Linked DNA regions of Anolis sagrei. The protein of the gene in region 1 interacts with the protein of each later gene in a pairwise test. Links are inferred from orthologs where the notes say so. Each region holds a gene or a part of one and is shown in the gene's direction. Other genes may lie near its edges. The genes, in order: WDR4, RABGGTB and protein FAM118A.

What was found.
Region 2: the proteins of WDR4 (region 1) and RABGGTB interact in binary tests that used the Homo sapiens proteins (3 or more experiments, as listed by UniProt). The two-hybrid records come from large-scale screens. The link is inferred for Anolis sagrei from reciprocal best matches to the Homo sapiens genes WDR4 and RABGGTB.
Region 3: the proteins of WDR4 (region 1) and protein FAM118A interact in binary tests that used the Homo sapiens proteins (3 or more experiments, as listed by UniProt). The two-hybrid records come from large-scale screens. The link is inferred for Anolis sagrei from reciprocal best matches to the Homo sapiens genes WDR4 and FAM118A.

Annotation. Positions count from the first base shown.
Region 1 is NC_090023.1:75,200,068-75,207,384, reverse strand, and holds the start of WDR4 (tRNA (guanine-N(7)-)-methyltransferase non-catalytic subunit WDR4), read left to right. Parts: upstream 1-4,251; 5' UTR 4,252-4,300; coding exon 4,301-4,476; intron 4,477-6,081; coding exon 6,082-6,144; intron 6,145-6,515; coding exon 6,516-6,662; intron 6,663-7,317. Other genes in the region: NDUFV3 (NADH dehydrogenase [ubiquinone] flavoprotein 3, mitochondrial), read right to left, coding at 2,017-2,064. UniProt on the Homo sapiens protein: Non-catalytic component of the METTL1-WDR4 methyltransferase complex required for the formation of N(7)-methylguanine in a subset of RNA species, such as tRNAs, mRNAs and microRNAs (miRNAs).
Region 2 is NC_090024.1:160,845,693-160,853,338, reverse strand, and holds the start of RABGGTB (geranylgeranyl transferase type-2 subunit beta), read left to right. Parts: upstream 1-4,594; 5' UTR 4,595-4,609; coding exon 4,610-4,723; intron 4,724-6,808; coding exon 6,809-6,916; intron 6,917-7,037; exon of another isoform or gene 7,038-7,122; intron 7,123-7,646. Other genes in the region: ACADM (medium-chain specific acyl-CoA dehydrogenase, mitochondrial), read left to right, coding at 1,094-1,165. UniProt on the Homo sapiens protein: Catalyzes the transfer of a geranylgeranyl moiety from geranylgeranyl diphosphate to both cysteines of Rab proteins with the C-terminal sequence -XXCC, -XCXC and -CCXX, such as RAB1A, RAB3A, RAB5A and RAB7A.
Region 3 is NC_090025.1:100,455,453-100,462,685, forward strand, and holds the start of protein FAM118A, read left to right. Parts: upstream 1-4,219; 5' UTR 4,220-4,264; intron 4,265-5,830; exon of another isoform or gene 5,831-5,842; coding exon of another isoform or gene 5,843-5,983; intron 5,984-7,233.

The DNA of each region.
Region 1 (7,317 bases):
AAAAAGAATCTGCAGAATGTGGAATGCATTGCAAATACTTGTCTTTCTGAGAAAGGTTGGAGAATTTAGGATGAGCAAGTAGGCTGCCAAAAATGCCCCAAGGACATGGCTTAGCAACAGGAGCCAAACTTACCCCCTGGAAAGGATAACCGATTATCTCTACTCCAAACTATCACTTCCTCTTTCCCCCTATCTCATATGCCTCTAGAGCACTGGTGCATATCTCTCTGGGAAATGGCAAAAATAAATGCCACAGAGTGGTTTGAAACCAGGTTATATTGTAAATGTAATCACTCTCCTGGCTTCAAACCTAGAAGTGAGGCCCCTTCTACTCTGCCCTATACCCCAGGATCTGATCCCAGATTATCTGATTTAAATCTGATATATGACTCTCCACTGCCAAAAAATCTGGGATAAAAAGATAATCTGAGATCAGATCCTGGGATATAGAGGCAGTGTTGAAGGAGCCTCTGGCCCCATCTGCACTGCCATATAAAATCCAGATTATTTGCTTTGAACTGGATTATATGGCAGTAAAGAGTCATATAATCCAGTTCAAAGTAGATAATGTAGATTATCTGCTTTGATAATCTGGAGTATATGGCAGTGTAGATCCAGCCTCAGGGCCCTTCCACACAGCTCTATATCCCAGAATATTCAGGCAGAAAATCCAACATTATCTGAGTGTGGACTCAGATAACTAAGGACCTTTGAACACAGCCCTATATCCCAGAATATCAAGGCAGAAAAATCCCACATTAACTGAGTGTGGACTCAGATAACCCAGTTCAAATCAGATATTGTGGGATCTTCTGCCTTGATATTCTGGGATATAGGGCTGTGTGGAAGGGCCCGCAGTTCAAGGCAGATATTGTGGGATTTTCTACCTTGATATTCTGGGATATAGGGCTATGTGGAATGGCCCTCAGTTTAGTCATCCACACAGTGAAACCGGAATCTGATAAAATGTTTCCAAATATCTGTTCAGTGTGGGAGTGTTGTGTGCAGCTGTATGGCCGTGTTCTAGCAGCTTTTTCTCCTGACATTTTGCCTGCAGCTGTGGCTAGCATCTTCAGAGGATCTGGTGGTGTTAGGGCAAGTAGAGTATATATACCTGTAGAACATCCAGGGTGAGAGAAAGATCCAATGTCTATTAACCAAATGTGAAGGGTGCTGTTAGCATGCTTGATTTGCAAGTTTTGAGTGGGATCCCTCCATTAGCATATGAGTAACTGAGACCCCTTCTACACTGCCATATAATCCAGATTACAAAATCAGATAATCCATATTATCTGCTTTGAACTGAGATTATAGGAGTTTACATTGGCAAATAATCCAGTTCAAAGCAGATAATCTGGCTTTTATATGGCAGTATAGAAGGGGCCTAAGAAGATTGCATAGTCAATAGTGAGGGTATCTGCCTAGAAGTTACTGGGCACAGAATGTTATTTGAGAATACTGAAATTCTGGAACACTATGACAACCATTTTGTCACACCACACAGAGTAGCCACTGAAATCCACAAGCACAAGAAACCATGAAAATAAACAAAATTTGGCTACTAGTATTGAAAAACACCAGGATCAAGACTGCAACTAATAAACACCCCCCAAACACAGGCAGTCTCCATGCAGCAAGCAACCAAAGTCTAGTGAACACCACCCAGACAAAGGATGTCTCCAGGCCATAAACAATTCAAAGTGAACAAAGGCCAGGCTACTTCTAGGCTGATGCCCTTACTGGCATATTACCTCTGAAGATGCCAGCCACATATGCTAGAGAAATGTCAGGAGAAAATGCTACTGGAACACGGCCATAAGTCCGAAAAACTCATAGCAGCCTAGATGTCCTTACTATTGACTATATCTGGGATATAGGGCTGTGTGGAAGGGCCCCCAGTTCAAAGCAGATATTGTGGGATTTTCTGCCTTGATATCCTGGATTATATGCCTGCGTGGAGGGGCCTCCAGTGATACAAAAGAGCCCTGTTCTCCTCTCTGCCTCCTCCTGTATTACCTTGAACGGTGCTGCGCGACCCCAGAGAATAAACAGAGAAGCCGCCATCTTGGTGTCCCACTAAAATTCTCCCCGTTGCAACCTCAGTCACAGAACAAAGGTTCCGCCTCTTAAGTGCTCCGCCTGAATCTGTGGCCTTTCCCTGAACATGACTCGTCCAGAGTCCCTCAAAAGCGACTCTTTCTTGCTGCAGGGGTTTCCTTCTTCCTTCAGTGTCTGCAAAAGCAGCCTAAAGATTGCAGATGAATAAATACAATTGTTCATTTCTTTTGTGTAAGGTTGGCAGGCGAGAGTTGAATTCTACATTGTGGAATTAGTGCAGTTTAACCCTACTTTAACTGTCATTGCTCAATGTAGAGGAATGGTGGGAGTTGTCGTTTGGTGAGGCACCACAACAGTCTCTGCTGGAGGAGGTGAAAGGTCTTGAAAAACCACGTCTCCCTTGATGTCATGGCAATTAAAGGGGTGTTGAATTATACAGTATAGAAGCAGCCTGTATGGGGCGTGGTGGTGGTGGTGCCTTTCTTTGTATAGGTCAAGCATCTCTTATCGAAACACTTCATAATTATCTATATGGGTGGTTGAGACCGTGACACTTTTCAACAGTATGGACACTTTGTTTCAGGTATAATTTTTTACAATGCATTTCAATCCAATTAAATTGCATTGCATGGGTCTATGCCAGGCATGGGCCAACTTCAGCCCTTCAGGTGTTTTGGACAGCGGCTGTTAGGAATTATAGCAGTTGAAGTCCAAAACACGTGGAGGGCTGAAGTTGGCCCATGCCTGGTCTACCCTGACCATATAGTTTCTGACCTCTGCTACACTGGCACATAATCCAGTTCAAATCAGATAATCTGGATTTTATATGGCCACGTAGAAGGGGCCTCAAAGTGCATTTATAGGGTCAGGGTAGATCCAGGAAGGCCTTTTTCAGGCCCCTTCAAAAAAGCTGTATAAAATCCACGTTGAGCTGGATCATATGGCAATGTGGAAAGAGACAATCCAGTTCAAAGCAGATATTGTGGATTACCTGCCTTGATATTCTGGTTTATAAACGTACATATTCATTATAAATCTTAATAAAGACAGGACAGTGCATTGCTCATTCTTGAAAGCTAAAGCTCAGTAACACTCACAACATTAGAAATGAACCAACACTTTTGGCAATATCTTTTATCAAGTCAGATTTTCTTGCATTAAATTGGCAATAACTGAGGCCCCTTCCACACAACTGAATAAAATCCCACATTATCTGCTTTGGACTGGAATATATGCCAGTGTGGACATAGGGCCCTTCCACACAGGCCTATATTCCAGAATATCAAGGCAGAAAATCCCACAATATCTGCTTTGAACTGGGTTATCTAAGTCTACACTCAGATAATGTGGGATTTCCTGCCTTGATATTCTGGGGTATAGGGCTGTGTTCAAGGGCCCTCAGATAACACAGGGCCCTTCTCACAGCACCATATCGCAGAATATAAAGGCAGAAAATTTCACATTATCTGCTTTGAACTGAGTTATATGAATTCACACTCCGATAAGGTGGGATTTTCAGCCTTGAAATTCTGGGCTATAGGGCTGTGTTGAAGGGTCTCCAGGGTCCTTCCAGACAGGTCCTAAATCCCAGGAATTTATCCCAAGTTTTCTGCTTTATGAGTCCCCACTACCAGATAATCTGGGGTAAACAGAAAACCTGGCATTAGATCCTGGGATATAGGGCCTGTCTGGCAGGGCCCCCAGTTCAAAGCAGATATTGTAGGATTTTCTGTCTGGAAGGGCCCCCAGTGCGCTGGAATTCAGTAAGCTGTATTTTTTTTCAAGCTTTCTCTGCCCTAGAGCATTGGTGCTTCATCAAACTATAACTCCCAGGATTATAAAGCATGGCAGTGAAAGTGGAGTGTCAGGCTGCATTAACTCTATGGCAGTGGCTCTCAACCTGTGGGTCCCCAGATGTTTTGGCCTTCAACTCCCAGAAATCCTGATAGCTAGTAAACTGGCTGGGATTTCTGGGAGTTGTAGGCCAAAACACCTGGGGACCCACAGGTTGAGAACCACTGCTCTATGGTGTGGGTGACACTCTTGTCTCTTTACCAAAAAAAACAAAATATTGGTGAAAAAAATCATGAGAGGTGTTCCTTTTGGTACACAAATCGAGCTTTCTTGGCCCAAGTCCAATTTCGGATCATACCGGAAGTCGGGGGTGCGCACGCGATAGACGCACCTCTTTGGCGCGCCGGGTCTTTCCGAAGCCTCTCGGCTTCCTCCGGCAGGCTGTCCCATGACGTCACTCGGCCGGCGACGCCGGGCTCTGTTGTCCTTCCACGTGGGCGCGATGGAGAAGGCGGCAGAGGCGACCCGTGGTGCGAATCCCCCTCCGGGGCTGGCCCTCCGCGGAGGCCTGCTGGCGCTCACCGGCGGGACGAGGCTCCTGGCTGCCCGCTTGAAGGAGCCCAGGTGGGCAGCGTGGAGGCGAGGGGCTCTGGGTTAGACTGCAGCCTCATCTACACTGGAGAGTAGGCCTGGGCAGACTTGGGCCCTCCAGGTGTTTTGGGCTTCCACTCCCACCATTCCTCACAGCCACAGGCCCTTTGCTTAAGCGGCTGAGGGGAAAAAGCAAAGGGCCTGTGGCTGTGAGGAATGGTGGGAGTGGAAGCCCAAAACACCTGGAGGGCCCCAGTCTGCCCAGGCCTGCTGTAGAATATATGCAGTGACACCACTTTAATAGCCATGGCTCAGTACTATAGGATCCTGAGAGTTGTACTTTGGTGAGGCAACCGCGCTTTGGTTGAGAAGGCGTTAGACCTTGCAAAACTACAACTCCCGTGATTCCACAGTATTGAACCAAATTGCATTACATGGTGGCCAATTTGCATTACATCCACAGTGCCGATGCAATCTATATCCATATATCTATATATGGAAAATATACTGGAGGCCATAGCAGATGTATTTATGTGTACCCTGCTGTTTTCCAAGTTACAATCCCTATTTATTTATTTCATACCAAAAGCATTGCATACATTAGTATAAAACTGACAAAAATAGAAGGAATGCAGGCGGCTAAATATCTTTTGACCAAAAATGGGCAACAGCAATGGCATTGTCTGTAGCCTCCAACAATTCTTCCTCTGTACATGAGGCAGGGCACAGTGGACAAGCATATAGATGCGAAGATGACTGTTCTGCTCCACGGTCACATAGAGTGTGGGATTCTTCTAGGTAGTGTCATTTTGCCAGGTTGTCTTTTGATCTGCCCACTCCACTTCTGGGTCTGTTCAGGGTCTTCCAAGTTGCCCATTCTTGGTTTGCCCCTGGAGGAAGACCGTTGCGGGGGGGGGGGGGGGGGGATCCAGTTGGGATTTCCTGGTTTAGCTGCCCAGAGGGATACCCTTGCTGTTGCTGGAGGGACGCCAAGAGGAGTGGTAGTTCTCATAAAGCTCCTTGATTGCAGTCTATTGAGGGGAGGCTGGTAGCCATGTAGTGGATGGCTTTCACAGTGTTCAACCTTATTTCTTTCACATTTAGCAGCAATTTCTATCGCACATTCGGGGGGGGGGGGCAGTGCCAGCTAGCTTGTAATCAACAGATGTAGGTTTAAGACATCCTGTGGTTATTTTGCATGTTTCATTCAATGCTATGTTCACCTGCTTTGCATGAGCAGACCTATGCCAAACAGGGAGTTACAATACTGACGTTGTAATAAAAAGCAAGGATGGATTGCACTGTGTAACATGATTTCTGTTCCTAGGTTGTAAATGTCATCTCCTAATTAGTTCTATCATAAAAGCATGGGAAAAGTTTATTACACTGCAAAAACTTTTGTTTTCGTGGGACATCCTGCAGTGACAAAATGAAATTTCTGGGGTGTAACAACTACTTTCAAAGTAAATAGTGCACAATTAAACAGGAAATGACACCTTCAAACCAGGAACAGTTTTTTTTTTCAAATTTTGTTACATGGTGTTATTAATTTAGGAGTTTTGGGGGTGAAAAGGGCTCAAACGTAGCACAAATGATGAAAAAATACTGACCCGCTGCATCTTTTTTTCTAATTTCCAGCCATGATGATATTTTTGTTTATGACTGTGCCACTGCCAACAAGAATCCTCAGGAAAAGCAAGGGTGAGACTGAAAAAAACTTGCTTTACTTGAAATATAATTTTAATTGCTATCTCATTTAGAGGTGTTTAGTAACAGATAAAGATGAATCAAGGCCCGAATTATTTGTATGAAAGTTTTGCCTTTATAAATGTTTTTCTCAATTTACAGTGAACTAATGGAGATATATATATATATATATATATATATATATATAATCACATCACATCACATATAGGCTTTCCGATAGTACTGGTACTGCCCTAACATTAGCAGCAGTTCCTGTTCTTGACATTTAGAAGTTATTTCACTTTAAATGGATGGGACCTGAAATAATTTCTTCTCTCTTTCTCTCTCTTTTCTTTTCTTTTCTTCTCTTTATTTTATTTTTTAAGAAAAGATGGAAAGTCATCAGGTAAAGCAAGTCATGATATCCTCGCCTGTGCATTTTCTGCATCAGGAACATATTTTTCTCTGACTGATGACAACAAACAACTGATTCTTTTTCGCACAAAGCCTGCTTGGGAATGTCTTAGTATAAGGTATGGAAAGAAAGGTGTGTGAAAAATAATATAATACGAACAGTGGGAACAGCTGTTCATATAAACTTTTGATTTTATTTTGTCATTTCTTACAACTTACTAGAGACGTGAGTGTCCAAGTCACCCTGTTCTCCCTGACCAAAATCTTACCACACTTGATTTCTTTCTCAATTCACCAAAGGCTTTAGGTTAAAAGAGGCATTGGGTGTGAATTTTTAAAGCTAAGAAATAGATTCAAGAAAAAAAATCACATGTGTTTTAGCTGTTTGTTCTGGGTTGTTTGTTAACCTGATAATAGTTTTGTGTTTTGGGTTGCTGTGAGTTCTCTGGGCTGTATGGCCATGTTCCAGAAGCATTCTCTCCTGACGTTTTGCCCCATCTCTGTATTTATTTATTATTTACTATATTTGTATACTGCCTTTCTTAGCCCTTAGGCGACTCAAGGCAGTTAACAGGGCAAAAATCAATGCCTACAATGTCATAAATACAATTAAAAACATAGCATATAATAAAAACTAAAGAGTTCACTAAAATATAAATTCATAGTGTCTCCTTGTTAAACATGTTATCTGGACTCATTGTCTAGTCATTCCATTTTCCTGTGTCAGTTACTCTGCATTTGCAAACTCTTGTTCAAAAAACCACATCTTGACTT
Region 2 (7,646 bases), on another chromosome or scaffold:
GCTGCTGTCTTAAAGGATTCATAGTAGTAGTCTCTTAATATACAACATTTTGCATGAGACATAGTAGTTCAAAAGAAAAGTTTGACTTTTTTGTAAAGATTGTGCATAATGCAAGAATTGTGCCACCAGTTGTTTTATGAGGAATTATCGTAGAAGAGATTGCATCCTTAAAGGTGGCTCTTGCTATTACCAATGTGTGTATTAAGAACTAATAATAAAAGAAGAAATAGTAGTCAAAGACATGCTGTTTAGACAGTCAAAACATTTGTTCTTGAACTAATAAATCTAACTGATTGAAGAGTCTTTTTGTAGGGTAATGCTCTCTTTATTTTAGTAGCAGTTATCCCTCTGTAACTTCTTTGTACCTATGCTGAGTGCTTGTATGCACATTAGCTGAAAAATAAATTCTACTAAATTCAGTAGTACATAAGTCTGACGAAGACTTCATAGGATTGCTGTCTTAGACTTGAGTATACTTGTAGATGATTATATACTGTGCTGTTAATGTTTTGTCAGATAGCTTTGATGATATGCAGTCAGTTTATATGAAAACTAAGCATATCAGTGTTATTTATTACAAATTGTATATGCATTTGTAAATGCACCCCCCAAAGTACTACAAAAGTACCAATAACAAAAAAAATATACTGATAGAGAATAGTGTTTGCCACAGGGATATTGGTTGTTATAATTCAAATGATGGCAAAACAAAATATCAGAATATGGTTTTATACATTCCAAAGGGTTTGTATCTGTTAAACAACAGTTCCCATATATAATTTTTTCTTCAAAGCAAGAGGACTTTTAAAGTCGTTTGTGATGTACTATTATCTGGTTTCAGTGTAAACATTTCACTGAAAACATCAAAGTATTTAGAATTTGTGCAAAGAAGCTTTCTGGACCCCTTCCATTATGTTCAGCCTTGAAGTGATTAGTGCACATTATGTTACCCCCATAACATATTTTGCAACTTGAATTTTGAATCATTTGGGTTGTTATCACTTCCAAGGTTTATCTTGTTTTCACTGAAATTCTGTATAGTTGCAGAGTGGTCCAAGTGCACATATTACTTATTAAATATTTTCTCTTTCAGATATATGAAGGAACAGCACAGATTCAAAGGCTAATTGTAGGCCGTGAACATCTTGGCAGATTTAAAGGTTGAGAGAACACGGAAACCATATAGTTAATGCTTGAATTCCTAGCATGCATTAACCCACTTCCGCAAACACTTGTTTCCACTCTATAATGTTAAAAGAAAAATTGCCTCTATAGTAGAACATTTTTTCAATGACATATCTGTTTCTTATTTTTAATACATAAAAAGCTGCATACTTAACAATTAAAAAAATTAGCCTGGAAATTTTCTCAGGCATTACATGTCAGTACTGTATGCTTTGCTAGAATGTTAAGCTTTCACTTGGCTTTAAACTGACCCAGATTGTTATGCTTGACTTCTGAAGTCTACTCTGCAATATCTTTCAAATGCCTGGAATCTGAAAATTTAACTGTTTCAGTGCCATATGTAAGATCTGATATTAGCCTCAGCAGTTTGGGTTACAAATACCACAATTGTGGGAAGAGCTATTAAGTATCTTTCTGTGTAGTGGGAAATTGTGAATTGTGAATTGAAATTGTGAGTTTATCACAGTTTATACCAATTCTGTGAACCTGTTTGCCTTTTAATAACTACGAAATGTTACAGCAAGCTAAAATATGAGGTGTATATTGCTTGCAGTGATACCAGATAAGTTGTCCATAGGTTTACTGCGAACTTGCCATTCTATGCACAAGGCTTTTAAGTATTTAACATAGTAATGTAAAATACTATGTCTTTTTGTAGCTCAGCAGCACAGAGAGAGAATATTAAATCTGTTTCAATTGTGGCCATCACCCACTTAATTTAAAGCAGTGCCTTTATAAATCCATCCTAGTGCTTTTAAAGCAGTGCCTCTGAAGAAGCCATCCATTTTGATGACATTATAATTATTTATCTAAAATAATTCTGTTTCTTTGTAAATTGTTAATAGTTTTATAATCAATTTAGTGTGTGGCAGATGTAAAATAATTGTGAGGCTTGTTTTGAACATTATTTGAGTGTATTTAATGATGACAGTGCCTTTGCAGTTGCTTAAAGTGAAGCAGCTAAATGGTATTTGGTAATACTCAAACATGATTAAAAAATTGCCATACAATGCAATATTTCTATTAGTAACATTTAAAGTACTAGCATTATTTTTATTAGCTATAGTATTACATTTAAAGCTAATTCCTTTGTAACCTAGACTGTGAATATTTTTTGGCAATGAAATGTTTTTATTTTTAAAATTTCTCAAAGGATGTGGCTGAATGTATTGGTGTCAACACTTCAGTTTTACTTCAGTTCAGTTACACATTTGACACAATTGAATACTTTCTAGTTTATGGAGTTGCTTGTCACTTTGGATGTTGAATTGCGATACCATCACAATTGGTTTGCTGAGTAGATGCAAGACTGCTGGAAGCTGCAACATAACTATATGTGGAAAGCGTTGCAATTCCCACTTCTGGGTGAAAAAAAATGTCAGGAAAGGGTAAAAAGAAAATCTGTGTTTGTTAGTCCTATATCTATGCAAGTATACTATTGAAACATTTTGAAATGGAATATTTCATATTGCAACCCCGGTTGGAATGTACCAGAGGAATAAATTAAACAAAGAAATAAATGGATCAGTGATTGTGCATTGTGTCTGGTGCCCAAATGATATAATTTGCCAGATTTTGCTGTAAAATGCTTTTGAAAAAATGACTCTCCTGAGTTCTATCTTGCCATAGTTTAGATAAATTCTTGTTTTTTTTGTTTTGTTTTTTCATTTTAGCCTTCAGTTTAAGACTTCAGCTTTACTTCATGACACAGTGTCACTGACCATGTTGGCTTTCATGGAAAGTGAAAAAAATATTTATGTCTTAATTTCGAGTTATTTTGTGAATCAAGGATTAGGAAGAGTTCAAGTCTCATATATTGGAGATTGATAAGTCAAAACTCTATCTTAGTTATTGAAGTTTAAATGTAAGATGCTTGCACCCTCTGAGATTGCATTTGTGCAGTGTAATTAATGCTGTTACACCATTTTAACTGCTGTAGCTCAATGCTGTGGTATCATGAGAGTTGTCGTTTTACTTGAACTTTAACCTTCTCTGCCAAAGAGTGCTGGTGTCTCACCAAATTACAACCCCTGTGCTCTTTTCCTTCCCCGAATCTGGAAGAACAGAGTCCAGTTTGTTTCCCAGCAGTAAAGCGTCCATCTTTCATCTTTTAACAGTCAGACTCAGGTTGGAGGCATGCTTTTCCCTGTCTCTGGGCAACAGGCTGAGGTCAGCAGAGGATGTCTCAGGCCCCTTCCAAACAGTTGATTAAAATCCCACATTACCTGCTTTTGAACTGGAATATATGGCAGTGTGGACTCAGATAACCCAGTTCAAAGCAGATATTGTGGGATTTTCTGCCTTGATATTCTGGGTTATATGGCTGTGTGAAAGGGCCTTGAGTCCTTCCTGCCTGTGCCCTCTGTGAATGGCAGGAGAAGGAGTCCAGCAGAGAGAGAGGTGCTTCTCGGCCTCCTGAAAGAACGTCAGGTCCCTTCTATACAGCTGAATAAAATCCCACATGACCTGTTGAACTGGAATATATGGCAGTGTGGACTCAGGGCTCTTCCACACAGCCCTATATCCCAGAATATCAAGGCAAAAAATCACACATTATCACGCATTATTCTGGGATATAGGGCTGTGTGGAAGGACCCTCTGATAACCCAGTTCAAAGCAGATATGGTGGGATTTTCTGCCTTGATGTTCTGGGTTATATGGGTGTGTCAGAGCCATGGCTTAATGCTGTGGGATCCTGGGAGCTGTAGTTTTATACGGTCTTCTGCCTTCTCTGACAAATTGTGTCGGTACTTCATCAAATTATGGCTCCCAGGATTCCATAGCATTGGGCCAAGGCTGTCAAAGTGGTCTCCAACTGCATTAAATCTACTGTGTATATGCAACCAATGTTGCCATAGCTAACACTTCTTAGGACTTCACAGAAGATAACCCGGTAAGTTTGCAGAGACTCCCAGGTTTATGGCATTTAATGTGCCAGTGGGGCAGAGGATAAGTAGGCGTGGAGTCACAGTATAGAATGAATGTGGTCTGAAACCGCTTTGTCTGCTATGGCGTATTGTGAGTTGTAGTTTTGCAAGGTTTTTAGCACTTAAGTGAAGAGTGTTGGTGCCTCACTGAACTACAACTCCCATAATTCCATTGTATTGAAGCATGACACTTAATCCTGCAGAGGCTCCCAATGAGCACTGGGCGAAGCAGGGGACAAGCAGTGATCCTTGATTGAGCGAATACTGTGTAGTGCTTGATACAGGGGACTGAGTTCATTTCAAAAATCTACCGTGTATCGGTGTCAATAACACGATCAACCAGTAAAACCATAACCGAATGTCGATTTAGTGTACAAAACAGGGTCACAACTCGCGTATATTTGAGCTATAGAGGAAACACCCTTGAGAGGCCCAAGATGCGCTCGAAAGGCGATAATGAATTTTAGTGAAGGAACACAGGCAATACTTGGGCAGCTATGACGGGGTCCTCAAGCACTGGAGGCGGATGCGTGCGTCCTTTGCGCCCCGCCCTTTCAAGCGACGAGCGCGCGCAGGCGCAGTCGGCAGGCTGCGACGGATGTGCCAACATGGTAAGCCGCAACTTGCGTCTATTTTCGCTTCAGGGTGGAGGTGATTTTTGTAACTCCCCTCCCCCCGCTCGCGCCGTGTTAATTCTATCTTTCGCCTTTTTTGCTCTTTATTGCCCCTTCCTTTTTTTTCTACCCGTAACGGATAGAGTGGGTTTTCTGAGAGTCTCGAAGGGCGGGGGGGAGAAAATAGGAAGGGAGGCGGAAACCAATAGAACGGGTTGGTGAAAACCTGGGGGGGGGGGGGAGGAGCCAGAGGCTAGGCAGTGATAGGTCAGTTCTGCTGCCAGTCAGAGAAGAGTTACGGTGTGGGTCACGTGAGCGCGCAGGCTCGCGCCTGAGAGAGAACCACGAGGTCAAGTCGGATCGAACTTGGTGGACCGCTTCTCAGCTGCCCACTTTTGCCCCGCCTCTTCCGGTTCAACGTGGGGAAGGGTTATTTTTTTTTTAATTGCATTGTCTCGCTCTGAGCCTCGTGGGCGTCGGACATGGCTCCCTCCTCAGGCTCCATGTATGGCCACCAGTCGCCATTCTCCTGCTCAAACTACAGGTTTATTTTTATTTTATTATTATTTATTTATATTTATTATATTATATATTTATTTCTATCTCGCTTTATTTCTCAAAGCGGCTCGCAATCAAGTTAAAATATACAACAAAACGGTATAATATCTTCGTATATTTTATCAGTAGTATTATAGTTAATATAATAATATATTAGTACTATTATACATTACAATATTATATGTTATGTTGTATTACAAGCCTTATATCGCACTGTAATATTAATATATATATATATGTAGTATATTATTTACTTATTCCGACATTTATATGCTGCCCTTCTCACCCCGAAGGGGACTCAGAACGGCTTACAAGATATATATTCATACAATATATATAGTACAATACTATATTGTACTATATCATTGTATTATGATATTATTAGTAATATTACATGTAATATAAATATATAATTATAATATAATATTCGTATTATTTTGCATTACGTTATATTATAAATATATGTATATACAATATATTATATTACATTATATTAATAGCATAGTAGTATTATATTGTAATATATTATATTACAATATTGTTATAAACTATTATATTGTACTATACCACAATACTGTAATATTGTTAATAACATATCATATATAATATACAATTATATTACATATTGTGCTAAGTTGTTATACCACTATATGTATACTACCAGTATATTATACTATTAGTATTACATAATATGTTGCACCATATCATAAGTTGTAGTATAGGTTGAGTAGTCATTATCCAAAATACTTGGAACCAGAAAGCGTTTGAATTTGGGGGGTGGTGGTGGTGGTATATATTTGCATATATATCCAGAAACCCAGAATTAAATAGAAATGAGTAAGTTACATAAAAAGATTTTCAGGGCCTGACCTATTTATTGACTCCACTTAGGAAACTATATAATGAACAAGTGTTAATTTCTCATTGGATAAGGACCCTGGGCAGATTCTAGCCTAAGTTGAAGAGAGAAATAGTATAAAAATGATTGTTCTACAGCCTCCATAAACTAGGCTAAAACTCTTGATTATACAGGGTTAGTCAAAATGCATAGGCCAAACATACATACAATTGTATGTATGTTTGGCCTATGCATTTTGACTAACCCTGTACTTTGTAACACAATTTTTGTAAATGCCATTTCCTACTTAGTTCTATCATAAAAAACATTTTCCTATAGCTTTTCAATGAATACCAGCTGTTAGGATTACCGGGAGTTGAAGGCCAAAACATCTGGGGATCTACAGATTGAGAACTACAGTTCTATTGTCTTCTCAAACTTCTTCAGTAAATTGAGAGTGAGCAACATGTGGCCTCTGCCCAGTCCCAGAACTGGTGCAAGGAATCAGTTCAAGCTCCAGACCACTAGGTGGAGAGGTAGAGGGAAACTATTTAGAATCTACTAGAAGCTTTAAGTAGGCATGTGTTTGCACAAGTATTGTTGCAGCCTTCCAAATTAGTTTTAGATTGTGACATAGAATTCATATGAAAACCATTCTGAAAATAATTGAATAATTTTATTTTAAGGGAACACCACAAAAAGATGTCATAATAAAAAATGATGCACCGGCTACATTGTTCTTAGAAAAGCACGCAGACTACATAGCTGCTTATGGAACAAAGAAGGATGATTATGTGAGTATCATGTTTAATGTGCATTCAGTTGCCTTTATTTCTCTTAAAATAGCTTATAAAATGACTTAAAAAGATGAGTAAAAGAAAAACTTATCAGTCTATGAATTACAGATGTTTTGCAGGTCAATGATGTAACACTGGCATGTATTATCTGAGTCCAAAGCTGAAGATTTAGCTCTTTAGCTCTAGAATTACACTGAGACCTAAAAAACAGCTGTAAAGAGGATTCAACCTTTATGTGGTCCTCCTCCTTCATAAAATAATTTGATTTAAAGATGAAGGGCTGATGTTAAATAAGTAAATGTTAACTTTCATCAGCATGACTCAATGACTAATTCTGTGTTTGAAAATAGCAATACTTTGTAATGTATTATATCTATTGAAACCTTAGAGGCATTTTAAATTTAAAGATATCACTGTATTCTTAAAAAAATAGGACTTCCTCAATGTTTTGCTAAATAAATGTCTGCATCCCGTGTTTTTTGAAAATTCACTTTACATTTAAAAAAAGGTTTAGTTCTTTGGAAGATGTAATTTTGTAGGATTTGTGTACTTATCTTCCCTGACTTCTGTATTTTAAAAAGGCAAGGAAGTACAGTAATTCTCTTGCAGTAAATACATCTGGTGCTATGTTACAGCTAAATATAAATATAAAAGTAAAGAAAAAGTATGTGAAATCAAAGTTGTTTAAAATACCTTTGCTAATAAAAATAAATTGACTATATTTGCT
Region 3 (7,233 bases), on another chromosome or scaffold:
AACATCGACGCCGAAATACAACACCGCCTGAGCTCTGCAAGTGCAGCATTTTCCAGAATGAAGCAGAGAGTGTTTGAGGACCGGGACATCCGTAGGGAGACCAAGGTGCTTGTCTATAAAGCTATTGTCCTCCCAACCCTGCTCTATGCCTGTGAGACGTGGACTGTCTACAGACGTCACATGCAACTCCTGGAACGATTCCATCAGCGCTGCCTCCGGAAAATCCTGCAAATCTCCTGGGAAGACAAGCGGACAAACGTCAGTGTGCTGGAAGAAGCAAAGACCACCAGCATTGAAGCGATGGTCCTCCAACATCAACTCCGCTGGGCCGGCCACGTTGTCCGGATGCCTGACCACTGTCTCCCAAAGCAGTTGCTCTACTCTGAACTTAAGAACGGAAAATGGAACGTTGGTGGACAGGAAAAGAGATTTAAAGATGGGCTCAAAGCGGGAAAAAGAGGGAAGGGCAGCATGGCCAAGGAGAATGGCCGGCTGACAGCATTCCCCGGAGCTCCCGGGTGTGATACAAATATTGTGGATTAATAAAACAAACGAAAGATAATTCAGCTCCATTTAAATAGAGGTTTTGCAACTAAAGTTTCAAAGAATCGAAGGGAGAAAGGAGAAGGCAAAACAGTGGCCAGCGATCAAAGCAAACCAGATATTCAGAGGGAAGAAGCTGCTGAAGAAGGGAATTTAATCTAACAGTGATGTATTGACTATGATTCTGTGAAAAATGGTTGTTTTCTTTATAATGCAAAGTTAAGAAACAAATATTTGGGTCAGATCTCGACACTATTATATCTTGTATATTTTGTTTAAAAGGGTAATTTCCATAGACCAAAACATTAAAAGAATGCATTAATCATGGATTGTCTAAGTTGTATCAGGCAGCACAAAACTATGTTAGAACTATAGAAGCTTTTAAGGATTGTTTTAAACTGCAGCCACAGGGTTAGGAGTGCAGGCAGGGAGAGGAAATTACAGCCTTCCACCCTGTAGTAGAGAAACAGTAGTAGAATGGTGCTTTGCTGAAACCATAACAACGATTGTAGGACAAGTTATAATACAAATACTGCTTCAGCTTCCGGAAGCCATAGAAGGCTAAACAGGTCAGCTTGTTTTCTCACCCTTCTTGTTTTTTCTTTGTTTATTTCTCTTTAGGTCGATTAATGGAGTGTTGCTGGTTAAGTCCAAAACTCCCTCTGAGATAAGAGTGATTTGGCAGTGACTTATCAGTTTGTTGTCAGTATTCTTCTCTAATTGTGCTGCTTAATGATTAGCCAGTGAAGAGTCGTGGCTCCGGCTGCATCGCCATTTTCCTTTAAGGATTGTGTTGTTGTTGTTCATTCGTTCAGTCGTCTCCGACTCTTCGTGACCTCATGGACCAGCCCATGCCAGAGCTCCCTGTCGGCCGTCACCACCCCCAGCTCCTTCAAGGTCAGTCCAGTCACTTCAAGGATGCCATCCATCCATCTTGCCCTTGGTCGGCCCCTCTTCCTTTTACCTTCCACTTTCCCCAGCATAATTGTCTTCTCTAGGCTTTGTTGTCTCCTCATGATGTGGCCAAAGTACTTCAGCTTTGTCTCTAGTATACTTCCCTCCAATGAGCAGTCGGGCTTTGTTTCCTGGAGGATGGACTGGTTGGATCTTCTCGCAGTCCAAGGCACTCTCAGAACTTTCCTCCAACACCACAGTTCAAAAGCATTGATCTTCCTTCGCTCAGCCTTCCCTAAGGTCCAGCTCTCACATCCGTAGGTTACTACAGGGAATACCATGGCTTTGACTAGGCGGATCTTTGTTGCCAGTGTGATGTCTCTACTCTTTACTATTTTATCGAGATCATTGCTCTCCTCCCAAGAAGTAAGCGTCTTCTGATTTCCTGGCCACAGTCTGCATCTGCACTCATCTTTGCACCTAGAAATACAAAGTCTGTCATGGCCTCCACATTTTCTCCCTCTATTTTTGAGTTGTCAATAATTCTTGTTGCCATAATCTTGGGGTTTTTTTTTTTTTGACATTTAGCTGCAACCCAGCTTTTGCGCTTTCTTCTTTCACCTTGATTAGAAGGCTCCTCAGCTCCTCCTCGCTTTCGGCCATCAGGGTGGTGTCATCTTCATATCTGATGTTGTTAATGTTTCTTCCAGCAATTTTCACCCCAGCTTTGCATTCATCAAGCCCCGCACATTGCATGATGTGTTCTGCATACAAGTTAAAAAGGTTGGGTGAGAGTATGCAGCCTTGCCATACGCCTTTCCCAATCTTGAACCAGTCTGTTGTTCCGTGGTCAGTTCTGACTGTTGCTACTTGGTCCTTGTACAGATTCCTCAGGAGAGAGACAAGGTGGCTTGGTATGCCCATCCCACCAAGAACGTGCCACAATTTATTATGATCCACAGAGTCAAAGGCTTTAGAATAGTCAATGAAGCAGAAATAGATGTTTTTCTGAAACTCCCTGCCTTTCTCCATTATCCAGTCCATTAAGGATTGTATCTGAATGTTATCTCTGTGCTGACAAAGAACTTTGGAAAGCATTAGTGGTCATGGGGACACTGTGTGCCAAGTTTGGTCTTGTTCCGTCATTGATGAGGGTCACAGTGGTCTCAGAAAGTAAGTTAAGGTACTGCAAGTCCCATCATCCATAGTCTGTTCTCCCCCAAACCTCACCAGAATGTTGAGTTGGCCATGGGGACTCTCTGTGCCAAGTTTGGTCTTTATTGGTATTTGGATGAGTGTCGCTGTGGTTTCAGGAAGTGAGTGAAGATACTGCAAGTCCCATCATCCATCCTCCTCCAAACAGCATCAGGATGTAGAGTGGGTCATGGGGGTTCTGTGTGCCAAGTTTGGTCTTGATCAGACATTGGATGAGAGTCACAGTGTTTTCGGAAAGTGAGTGATGGTACTGCAAGTTCCATTATCCATCGTCCATCCTCCTCCAAACAGCACCAGGATGTAGAGTGGCTCATAGGGGCTCTGTGATCGGTCATTAGATGTGGATTGCAGCAGTCTTTGGAAGTGAGTGGAGGTACTGCAAGTCCCATCATCCATGGCCCATCCTCTTCCAAACAGCACAAGGATGTAGAGTGGGTCATGGGGGCTCTGTGTGCCAAGTTTGGTCTTGATCAATCATTGGATTAGGGTCGCAGTGGTTTCGGTAAGTGAGTGATGGTACTACATGCTTCTAAAGGACCAAGTAACCGATCAGCCGTTGGCAGGGTGGAAAACCTTTTTATCCCACCACTTGCCACCAGATTGCAACGGTTGGCCGGAACTCTAAGGAATAATGCTTCAAATGTATTCCCTAGCTCACACACACGCACCCGTTCCTTCTACTGTTATATTGCTCTCATCTGGTCACCAATGTAAACTAGATTGGATGACCCCTTTGGCCGTTGGTATCAATTTGAAGGAACAGAGTAAAGGACTTTGTCTTCTTAGGCTCCAACTGGACACCTGTCACAAAGCTCTATGTGTTTTTTTTAAGATATTACTGCCACCACTCAAATAGCTTTTGAGAATATAACTTGATGTTATGTGTGAGGTAAAGCTTAGAGTGCCACAGCCCTTTCCTTAACTCTCCCTAATGTGTCTGAGGCGAAAAGATGTTAGAATTCTACTGGAACAGGCTTAATGAAATGAATCACTGTGAGGACTTCTTGTAAAGTTGAACTAGAATAAAGTTTATTTAAATATATTAGAACAAACATCTGGATTCTTCTTTGAATTACGAAAGCATATATGGTCAGCACAGCACAATCTTCTTAAACAGTTACTAAGACTTAACAAGCTTGCTGAACTTCTCAACTGTGTATCTGTTCTTCGATGTGAGCGATTTCCCTCAGCGTATCTAGATCCCACTAGAATACTCTGATCTTTAAAGTGTATAACAACCAGTGTGGTTTCCTCTCACACCAGTCCACAAGCGGCTATTTGGCTCTCCAGGCCACTCTATAGCCACACCTGCCTTTCCAACACTCTCCCTCAGGAAATATTCCACTCACCCTCAAACTACCCTCTTCCCTCAGCTTGAAATTCAATTCCCTTAAAATCCCTTCTCTCTCTGTCTGATGTTCAATCACTTCTCTCTCTTCCAGAAGCTGCCTGCCTCCCTTTTACACTGACAGCTTCAGCTCCTCCCATCTGTCCTAGCCAATCCTGGGGCAGCTAAACTCTTCCCCTCTGCTGATCTGGCTTTCCTTGTATTTCCCTCACCAAGATGGAGGCCGGCTCACTGTCTCTAAAGGCTTTGGCTTCGGCCTACAAGGTATGATTCACTACAGTCCCATCATTCATGGTCCATCCTCCTCCAAACTGCAGTAGGATGTTGAACAGTTATTGGCGAGGGTCTCAGTGCTCTCAGGAAGTGAGTGAAGTTACTTCAAGTCCCATCATCCATATCCAAATTCTTCCAAACCGCACCAGGATGTAGAGTGGGTCATGTGGGCTCTCTGTGTGAATTATGGTCCTGATCTATCATTGTTGGCAGATGTAATGGTCTCAGAAAGGGAGTGCAGGTATGGCAAGTCCCATCATTCATGGTGCATCCTTCTCCAAACCGCACCAGGATGTACAGTGTGGCATGGAGTGCGTTGTAATGATTTTTTTTGGTTTTTTTGGCTTTTTTAGTCCCTTCTGCTGTGTTTTTCAGTGTTTTTATGAGTGGTGGTCACTCGTTGGCCTGAGAGATGTCTTGTGTCCAAATTTGGTGTCAATTCATCCAGTGGTTTTTGAGTTCTGTTAATCGCACAAACGAACATTACATTTTTATTTAGATAGATATTATTAGTAAAGCATTTTGTACCACCGATGACGCATCCAGAGCATACTTGCCCAAAATGACAAACTTTAAGTACTGATGGAGTTTCTCGGGCTTAACCTGGCACAATGTGAGTTGTAGTTGACCCACAACCTTATGCATTCTGTTCCACTAAAAAACTGACTGGGTTGTTGTAGGTTTTTTCGGGCTATATGGCCATGTTCTAGAGCAGGGGTCCACAAACCTTTTAAACAGAGGGCCAGGTCACTGTACCTCAAACTGTTGGAGGGCCGGATTATAATTTGAAAAAAAAAACATGCATGAATTCCTATGCACACTGCACATATCTTATTTGTAATGCAAAAACACTAAAACAATACAATAATTAACATGAAGAACAATTTTAATAAATATAAGCTTATTAATATTTCAATGGGAAGTGTGGGCCTGCTTTTGGCTGATGAGATAGGATTGTTGTTGTTGTTGTTCTTTCAAGTCGTTTCAGACTTAGGTTGACCCTGAGCGAGGGCCGGATAAATGACCTTGGAGGGCTGCATCTGGCCCCCGGGCCTTAGTTTGAGGACCCCTGTTCTAGAGCATTGTCTCCTGACGTTTCGCCTGCATCTATGGCAAGCATCCTCAGAGGTTGTGAGGTCTGTTGGAACTAGGAAAATGGGTTTATATATCTGTGGAAAGACCAGAGTGGGACAAAGGACTCTTGTCTGCTGGAGCTAGGTGTGAATGTTTCAAGTGACCACCTTGATTAGCATTTGATAGCCTGGCAGTCAGTTTGAACAGAAAAAAATATAAAGGAGTCTAGCAGTACTTTTGAGATTAAGGGAAAGACATCTCTAGTGTAAACATTTTTGAAAGCTTATGCTAGTAATGTCTTTCTCTGGGCCCTCTGGGTAGTGAGGTCTCTTCCAAATATCCTCGGGTACCCAAGCGAGCAGAAGAATAACAATCCAGGCAGCCAACCAATCGGGGCTTAGCTTCCGAGATGCGGCTGCCCGGATTGGTCAGCGACCCCCGCTTGACTGGGGCTGGCCAGCGGCGCGCGCAATTGGCCTGCTTTGGGACCTGAGGATGCTTTGGGCGTGCAGCGGCTCCTCGAGACAGACAGGAGGCTCTCTCTCACACTGTCGCCAGCCTCGGAGGAAGAGGAGGAGTTGCGGTCCTCTCGCTGGCTGGAGCCGGCCGAGGAAGAGCAGCCGCCAGCGGGGCCAGGTAAAGGGAGGCGGGCGGAAGAAGGAAGGAAGGAAGGAAGGAAGGAAGGAAGGAGGGAAGGAAGGGAGCCAGCGCTCTCGATCTGATCTGCAATCCAGGCAGGAAGGGAGGCTTTGCAGGATTTGACCCATTTCTCAGGCTAAGCTGGAGGCCGTGTCCGTTGAGCTTCTCCTGCCCTTTCCGTCCTTGGGGAGAGGCAAAAACCCCATTGCTTTGGTCCCAGAGAGCCTCCTTCCTTTCCCTTCCTTTCCTTTCCTTTCTCTATTCCCCTTTCCTTTTTCCTTTCCTTTCCTTTCTCGATTCCTTTTTCCTTTCCTTTCCTTACCCATACCTTTACCTTAACATTAGGTAAAGGTAAAGGTAGTCCCTTGACATTAAGTCCAGTCATGTCTGACTCTGGAGTGTGGTGCTCATCTCCATTTCTAAGCCGAAGAGCCAGCGTTGTCCGTAGACACCTCCAAGGTCATGTGGCCAGCATGACTGCATGGAGCGCCGTTACCTTCCCGCCGGAGCAGTACCTATTGATCTACTCACATCTGCATGTTTTCAAACTGCTAGGTTGGCAGAAGCTAGGGCTGACAGCGGAAGCTCACGCCGCTCCCCGGAATCGAACCTGCGACCTTTCGATCAACAAGCTCAGCAGCTCAGTGCTTTAACCCACTGCGCCACCAGGGGCTCCATTAACATTAAGCATTAACATTAATACTTAACATTGAGCATTCTCAATTAGCAGCCCATTAATCCAGTGTTATTCAACCTGGGGGTCGGGACCCCTTCGGGGGTCGTAAGGGGGTGTCAGAGGGTCATCAAAGCCCATCAGAAAACAAAAGTATTTTCTGTTAGTCAAGGGGGTTCTATGTGGGAAATCTGGCCCAATTCTATCATTGGTGGCGTTGAGATTGCTCTTTGATTGTAGATGAACTATAAATCCCAGGAACTACAACTCCGAAAAGTCAAGGTGTATTTCCCCCGAACTCCACCAGTATTTATATTTGGGTATATTGAGTATTCATGCCAAGTTTGGTCCTGATCCATCCTTGTTTGAGTCCACAGTACTCTCTGGAGGTAGGTGAACGACAACTCCAAAACTCAAGGTCAATGCCCACCAAACCCTTCCAATATTTTCTGTTGGTCATGGGAGTTCTGTGTGCCAAGTGTGGTTCAATTCCATTGTTTGTGGAGTTCAAAATGCTCTTTGATTGTAGGTGAACTATAAATCCCAGCAACAACAACTCCCAAATTACAAAATC